2 linked regions of the Canis lupus familiaris genome follow. The protein of the gene in region 2 interacts with the protein of the main gene of each other region in a pairwise test. Links are inferred from orthologs where the notes say so. Each region holds a gene or a part of one and is shown on either strand. Other genes may lie near its edges.

What was found.
Region 1: the proteins of RHOA (region 2) and RIPOR2 interact in binary tests that used the Homo sapiens proteins (3 or more experiments, as listed by UniProt). The link is inferred for Canis lupus familiaris from reciprocal best matches to the Homo sapiens genes RHOA and RIPOR2.

The regions. Positions count from the first base shown.
Region 1 is NC_049256.1:24,261,949-24,265,760, reverse strand, and holds part of RIPOR2 (rho family-interacting cell polarization regulator 2), read left to right. Parts: intron 1-1,890; coding exon 1,891-2,568; intron 2,569-3,812. UniProt on the Homo sapiens protein: Acts as an inhibitor of the small GTPase RHOA and plays several roles in the regulation of myoblast and hair cell differentiation, lymphocyte T proliferation and neutrophil polarization.
Region 2 is NC_049241.1:40,230,110-40,234,544, reverse strand, and holds the start of RHOA (transforming protein RhoA), read right to left. Parts: upstream 2,995-4,435; 5' UTR 2,826-2,994; intron 1-2,825. Other genes in the region: TCTA (T-cell leukemia translocation-altered gene protein), read left to right, coding at 3,423-3,645, 3,921-4,023. UniProt on the Homo sapiens protein: Small GTPase which cycles between an active GTP-bound and an inactive GDP-bound state.

The sequences.
Region 1 (3,812 bases), on a different chromosome or scaffold from region 2:
TCTCTATGAATAAACAAAAAAAAAAAAATGAGAACAGGATTAGAAAAAAACTCAGCAGCTTCCTCTAGCCTTTTGGGTACAGGCAGATTCCTCAGAGGGCTGTATCCATCTGGCCTCAGCCATACCTGCCGTTGGCCATTCTTTGTTCTCTGCTCCAGCCTCCCAAACTCCCCACCCCCCTCCAGCTGGACCACCCTCTTCAGGAGCTGCTCCTGTGCACACACTTTCCTTCTGGAAGGCTCTTCTACCTCCTCGCCTCTACCTCCCCATCCTGTGGGGTGGAGCTCCAGGACCACCTGTCTCCAGGCAGCACCATCCCTGTGCTGGGGACCTGCCTCATTATGTCATGCCTCAATCAGAAAAGACACATCCCCTTGTACTCTCGTGTGCCCATGGATGGGCTCGTCCCCTCATGGCACACCTCAAGTTCCCATTCTTGAATAGAGCATCCCAGCTTCATCTAACTCAATGTTGGCCACTCCCATAGCTGCCAGTCAGGTTTGGGAACATGGGATCAAGAGAAATGGCTGGCAAGGACTTTGAAATTTGAATAAGAACCCTGACTTAAGCAGACTGCCTGCTTAGGATGTGTGGTTTGGAGATGAGATGAGATAGGGCAGGACCACCTGGAGGACCCAGGACTTCTGTGAGATGCCTGAGGGACCCCCTGGGAAGAAGCCCAGGGAGTAGCCCAACCTATTGCTACCACAAGGCCCCTCTTTGCCCTCCATATAGTTAAAATAGGCATTTGCTCAGTACTTACATTTACTTAAAATATCAAATCTGGAACCGAAGAGAAATTATCCATTTCAAAGGAGTTGATCTCAAATACTAGAACACTTTTTCCATGGAGCCACATTTGGCACGGAGATACCACCTAGACCACAGCATAGGAAGAGATGACCTAGACATCATTTTAATGCCTGCACAAATAAATTATCTTGATTACCTGGATATTTGTAACCTCTCTCCCTTCTGCGTTCTGCTTCATGAATCACAGAGTGTGCTTGACCCAGCCTGGGTCAGCTTGAAAAGACAACTTGGTGTTTCCAGACACCCTGAGAGTTCTGGCTCTGCAATCCTGGGAGATGTTCAGGTTTATTCATCTTTTTTCTTCCATTTTTACAGAAGCTGTGCGAGTATATTTCTGGCCTTTGGTTATTTGTGGCATGGTTACTAAATTAATAGAACATTTTCAAGGGCTTGGGATTTGTGGATAGAGATTCTTTTAAAATAACTTATGAGAAGTGAAGCAGAACAAAGCATCACATCTTTTGAGTGAACTAGCATGAACATTGGAAAGTCTTTTAAGATAAATGCCAAAAAAAAAAAAAAATTGGTAGTGTTATTCAGAACTATGGCTGCCAAATACTGTGAGATCCTGGATTTTAGGAAACAGGCTCTGTTCCCATACTCCCCCAATCTTTTCTTTTGAAAAATATCAAACCTAATAATAGTATAATGAACTTTCACCTAGATGCAGCACCAGAAATAGTTTGTAAGGGCTTGTTTTCTTTTGCCACACATGCAACCGCACACACATATGCACACACAAAATCAACAAATAAAAAGTTAATATTATGAAAGTGCTGGTTGTTTCTTTTAATGGCTTGGCATCTTGTCTGGAAATAAACCACACCAAACATATCATTTGTTGTTGTTGTTTAAGATTTTATTTATTTATTCATGAGAGACACAGAGAGAGAGGCAGAGACAAAGGCAGAGAGAGAAGCAGGCTTCCTGCGTGGAGCCTGATGCAGAACTCAATCCCAGGCCCCCGGGATCATGACCTGAGCCAAAGGCAGACGCTCAACAACTGAGCCACCCAGGTGCCCTTACCAAACACATCATTTGTATTTAAAATAATAACGAGTTGCCTTTTATCCGCAGTCTAATCTACCTGATGACGTCTTTGAACATGGAAAGGCAGCTGAGGAGAAGACACCCCTGTGTCTCAGCTTCAGTGACCTACCCAACGGGGACTGTGCCCTCACCCCTGACCCAGCTGGCTCTCTGGCCAACACATGCTCCACAAATCCAGAAATTACCATCACCCCTGCAGAGCTGAACCACAGCAGCCTCTGCTCCCCGAATGAGGGCACGGATGACTCTAGCTCAGCATCTTCCAGGAACTCCTCCAGAGAAGGCCGAGAGTCACAGCCCCACCCGGAGGAGGACACTGATGGGCCTGGGAACCCTGAGACGCGCCGAGCGTCTGCCGGTGCTGCCACCAAGCACCTGTTCCTGGAGAAGGATGTGGCCGAGGCGCTCCTGCAGGAGTCTGATGAGGCCTCTGAGCTCAAGCCTGTGGAACTGGACACTTTCGAAGGAAACATCACAAAGCAGCTGGTCAAGAGGCTCACCACGGCGGAGGTGCCAGTGGCCACGGAGAGGCAGCTCTTTGAGGGCTCTGTCAGTGGAGAATCCGAAGGCTGTAGATCCTTCCTAGATGGAAGCTTAGAGGATGCATTTAGTGGGCTTTTCCTTGCATTAGAGCCACATAAAGAGCAGTACAAAGTGTTTCAGGATCTGAACCAAGAAATCATGCATTTGGATGATATTCTAAAAGTAAGTACCGTTTTAGGGAAATCAGATTAGGTTTGAAGAGAGGTATCCAAAGCCAACATTCTATTTAAAATAGTTGTATCTTTTTGTTTTCCCCCATCTCCACACAGAACCAGTAACCAATCATCATTTGAGTGGCCCTGACTTTTAAACACCAGGAGTGCATGTTCACCTATATTTCCCTAACAACAGATCGATGCAACTATGATGATCAGGAGTTAAATTAGCAGCCCTGAGGAATGTCTGGGCTCCTTCAGCCCCAGAGTTAGTCTTTGTAATCCCAAATGTGAAAGGGAGGTACTTTGAGGATCACAATCTCATGGAGATGCTACTGGATAGAGTCCCTTCCTGACTGAAGTCAAGAGTTAGGCAACCCCTGATGTGGGAGCCATAGGCCCATCTCCCCACCCCCACCCCTGCACCCCTGCACTCCTGTCCCCACCTGTGGTGCTGCCTCCAGAGATTCCCTTCTCTGGTCTAGTCTCAACCAGGGAGTTGGAACCTGAGATTAATCACTCATACATCATCATCTGTATTCTAGAAGCCAGGGACCCCCAGTTCCACCAGAGTTAGCCTCCTCAACCCTGTTCCTGATCAGACTTGGTGGGAGGGGAGAGCAAAAGGGATGATTTCCTCTCAGGTGGGAAGTCCTAATCCTGAGGTTATTATTGCTACACTGGAACGTATATGCTGCCACTGGGCATGCAAATTAAACTTTTTCAAAGGCTGCACAAGAAGACAGAACCTGAATTTTGTCCTGAATTCCACTGCCATCACTTCTTGTGTTCTTGGCTTGGCCACTCTGATATTGCCATACAGAAGATAAATTGGGTCTTTTTCCATGAAAGAGCAATTCTTTGGTGACCTGTCCTGTCATGCAGGTTTGAAAATAAGGTGCTAGTAGTGAGCTAGGATTCAACCTGCAGAAGGCTATTTCACCACCTTGAATGGCTGTTTATAAAATGGGGTCTTCTCAGGGGCATTGGAAGGACATTTCCAAGGCTTTTCTATCTTATCCTTCTCAGTGGTACGCACCTAACCCCTAGGGATATCTGTCCCCAAGGCAGCTGAGGCCAGCAAAGCCCCAACTCTCCAGGTCCTCCAGTGCTCAGCACAGACTAATTCAGCTGTAGGTACCACCTGCCTCTGAGTAGCAGGTGGGAGTGCTCTGAATCTGAAAGCACCAGTTCAGGACTCCTTCATGAAGGCTGCTTGTCTAATACTCCCATGAAAACATCTCTACTCCC
Region 2 (4,435 bases):
CATAATTATGAGTATACAGGGCCTTCACATAATACTATAGCACCACAGATCAAAAATGAGTCATTTGAAATAGAAACACTTGAAATAGGAATTTTACAGTAATTATTAACTTCAAACTGTCTTGGAAATTTTAATTTATTAATCTCACAAGTACTTAACAGTGAGCATATCCCCAAAGAGCACAGTATAGTAAGACACATTAACACACATGTTTAAAATTTAGTTACATTAATATGTAGGTGCAAACAAAATTCCTCTAGCCAGGGACATGAAAGACTAAAAACTAAGTGCTACAGGAAGGTAAAATAACTTTTAAGTACCTTTTAAAGTACAAATATATGTGATTAAAATCCAGTGATTATGTACCATTTATCATTATCACTAGCAGCCAAATACAATTAAACCCAAAGTGTTGTCTAGAGAAGCTCAGCAAGCCCAAATTCGTTCTCTTAGAAGCTGAAGTATCAGTCTGTCTTCTGAGAGTTAACATAAATCTCTCAGCTCTAGAACTAAAACAACCCAAAGTAGCAACTCCTCCTCCTGTCACAGCTTGAATTCCACCTCAATATCTACCTGTTTTCACTCTCCTCTAAGAACAACCAGGACAAGAGAATACGATAAAACTACTGCCACACATACACAGAACTATTTACTTAATATGTGCAGTTTCTCACCATCCCACCTCAAATTAATAGGCAAAAGAGCCCTCAGTCACATTATAACATCTTGGTCTGACCTAATTATGTTGGGCTTTGGAGCAGGGGAGTCTGGGCCTCACATTGGAAGAAGTTGTTCCCTCAAGAAGACCCAAACACCCCTGGGTGGTACACTCAGTCGAGCATCAGACTCTTGGTTTCAGCTCAGATCATGATCTCCAGGTTGTGAGATTCGGCTCAAAGTTGGCCTCCGAGCTCAGGGAGGAGTCAGCTAGGGTTTCTCTCTCTTCCTCAAAACCTCCCCATGCTCGTGCTCTCTCTCAAATGGTTAAATAAATCTCTAAAAAAAACAAACAAACAAACAAGCGAACAAAACCCCCAAAACACCTAAAGCTAAAACTAGGCCAAGCAGGGACTCTGTATATTCATTTATGTATTTCAATCAACTGCTGTAGGACCATCCAGTTCCGGGGAGGAGAGCGCAGTGAAAGCTAAAGAACTGAGTTTGTTTAGAAATGAATTTTTCAGGTTCTCAAAACATATATAAAATCAGTAATATGTAAAAGAAGAAAATACTGGAAATAAGTCCTGAATTTTACTTAACTCTAAGCAAGCTGTTTCAGAGTACAAGAATACCTCAGAGTTCTGGCCTGCACCTGACCAGAAAAATGACCTTAGGAAATTTATGTAAGTCTCTGAGACTCAGTTTCCTCATCTGCAAATAGGGTTAGACCGTAAGTCCTGAAGATACCTTTGGGTCTAAAATTCTAGATCTACGAAAAAGTCAGTGGATTTCTATTCTCTTCTTCCCTCCAGTACAAATTTTTTATGAGAAAAGAAGCCATAACTCTAAGCCTAGACTCTGACTCAAAGTGAGTTTTCTTCTATTTTGTTAGCTTCCCAAGGGCCACCACTCATCTACAAAAGTAGATGGAACTACCAAAAAAACAATTTATCAAAAGATCTTTAAGTTTTCCTTCACAATTAAGAATTAGTCTTGTACTTTCAGGCCAAACAATGTCACGCCCAACGCTCATACCAGTATCTCTACCAATTTAGCCATGTCTAAAGTGACAATCCTGCAATGGTACATATATGTACCATTTTCAACCATTTAGTGGTTGAAAAATTAAATGACTGAAAAATTCTCACCACAAATAACATTTTAAAGAATTTTAAGTATTTTTCCCCTTCAGATCTGGCAGGGAGGGCTATAAAATGCATACCTGAATAAAAAAACATTTACTTCAAAGACAAACACCAAAAGAAGGAAACATATCACCAATATTGGTAAAAACTTTAAATCAGGACCATTAAAAAAACACAAGTGGAAAACACTGTGATAAAAAAGGATACCAATTTTCCACCATAAACTACTGCACATTGTCTTGACCAAATCGATTTGAGTGCAAACAGTGCTATTTAATAAAGACAGCTTGTAACTGGGTTCAATCGGTAACTAAAGACAGATGTTTAGGGGATTCCAATCAAGGTAATAACTTAGACTAAGCAAAGTTGCAAATTAATACTCTATTTCAATGCAATAGAGTTTAAATCATGAAAAAGTGTTTTCAACTGGAAAATTCCCTTCTCAATACCCAAGAATCCTAACCCGTAAGATTTCAACACTACTTTACTTACACAATCTCCGAAACTACTGCATTTAAAAAGAAAATCTACCCAAAACATATCTGGACTTCACACCGTATAAAACGGTGATTCATGTTTCATATTCAATGCAAAAGCCAAGATGGAGTTGTAAAGAGTTTCTTTCCCATTTCAACTCCCGACAGCCACGCGCGCTTCGCAGGGACCCGCTGCACCGCGCGGTCGCCGGGCCCAGCTCGAAGCCCCCGCCCTGCCCCGCACGGCCGTGAGAGAGGAAGAGCCAGGGACCGCGGGCGGGCGTCTTGGGCTCCACCAGGCCTGGCCGGGCGGGGGAAGGGGCGCGGGAGGCCGCGGGGCGCGCTTCCGGGGACTGCGCGGGCGGGGCCGTCGCTTTGGGGAGCGGGGCCCCGGCCAGAAGGCTGGGGCCGGGGCCCAGGGGCAGCCGGTTGAGAGCAGCAGGTGGGGCGCGGCCGCGGCGGGGCGGCGGGCGGGCGGGAGGCCGGAAGAGCGGCGGGCGGGCCCGGGGCGCCGCGGCGCCAGGAGAGAACCCTCTCGGCTCACCTCAGGCGACGACTCGCAGTCCGGCCTCTCTGCGCCGAGTGCGCCTGTCCGCGAGTCGGAAGCTCGGAGACTGGGGCGGGTGGCTGAGAAGACCACGGCGAACTAACGAGAGAACCGACGGAGGACGGCGGGCGGCGGGCGGGGAGCGCGAGCGAGGGCGGTCGGCGGCGGGAGGGCGGGGAGCGACGTGCGCGCCCCCGTGTGCCAGCGGGCTCGAGCCGGCCCCAGCCGCGGCCCCGCGCACGCGCGCACACTTACAGCTCAGCCACGATTGCTCAGGAGCGCGTCCACGCCCTAATAGCAGGGCGCTTAACCAATCACTGCAGCCGCGTGGGGCATCACGGGAACTCCGGGGCTATAAAAGACCTGGTTGCTATTTTATGCTCCTCGTCTCACTCATCGTTTAAGTAAGCAGGGTGGGGCTAGGTGCGCGTGCGCGGTTTTAGTACTCCTCCCCAAACTGCCAACTCTTCGCGCAAGCGAAGTAGACTCGCCTTGCCTGGTTTACGCGTGCGCATTAACGGGCCTGGCCCGGAAGACCAGACGCCTGCGCAGTGGGTGCTATAGTGACAGTCCCGGGTGGGGCATGGGCCAGTCATGGCGGAGCCTTGGTCTGGGCAGTCCTTGCAGTCTCTGCCGACCTTGGTGCTGGGCACACTGGGCACCCTGGGCAGCGAGTTCCTGCGGGAGTGGGAGGCGCAGGACATGCGCGTTACCCTCTTCAAGCTGCTGCTACTGTGGTTGGTGATAAGTCTCCTGGGCATCCAGCTGGCGTGGGGGTTCTACGGGAGCACGGTAACAGGGCTGTATCACCGCCCAGGTGAGGCTCCCCATCCCCACCGGACTGCATCATTGGGCTCCCCAGAACTCCCTAGACTACCACTGGTCTCCTAAGAACCTCATCACAACTTTATGCTCTACCCTGACCCATGCCAACATACCATTTCATGCCAGAAATCCCGGACCACCCATCACATTTTAACCGCTCCCTTGAACCTCCATCAGACAATACCACTAGTCCCTTTAAGGCCCCCACAAGACTCCATCAAACAACATCACTGGCCTTTAACTTGATCTGGGCTGATACCTGCTCAGATTCCCACCCCAAGCCTGCTGCAGCTCTGGATGTGTTCCTGCCCCCAGGTCTGGGCGGCCAGAACGGATCCACACCTGATGGCTCCACGCATTTCACTTCGTGGTAAGTAAATCTGTGCCCATGTCAACCCCATGCTTGGCAGGCAGAAGACACATCTATGCTGGGAACAGGGACAGGGCTAGGAAGTTCTCAGGGCAGGAGTCCACCAGTTTAGTGGCCTTTGCAGCAAGCTCAAAGGCTTGCAAGTGGAGCTCAGGCTTCGAATGATACCAATTTAACAGCCCATTGATAGGCTATTCAGCAACCTGTGGGGCTGGTGGTGCTACTGTCAAAATCTCAGAGATAAAGTAGCAGGTCTGTTGAGTTCAACTCTACTGCAAGCCCCTCAATTTAGAAAGGCAGGAGGCTTTGTCCTTTTTTTTTTTTTTAAGGTTTTATTTATTCATGAGAGACACAGGCAGAGGGAGAAGCAGGCTCCATGCAGGGAGCCTGACATGGGACTTGATCCTGGGTG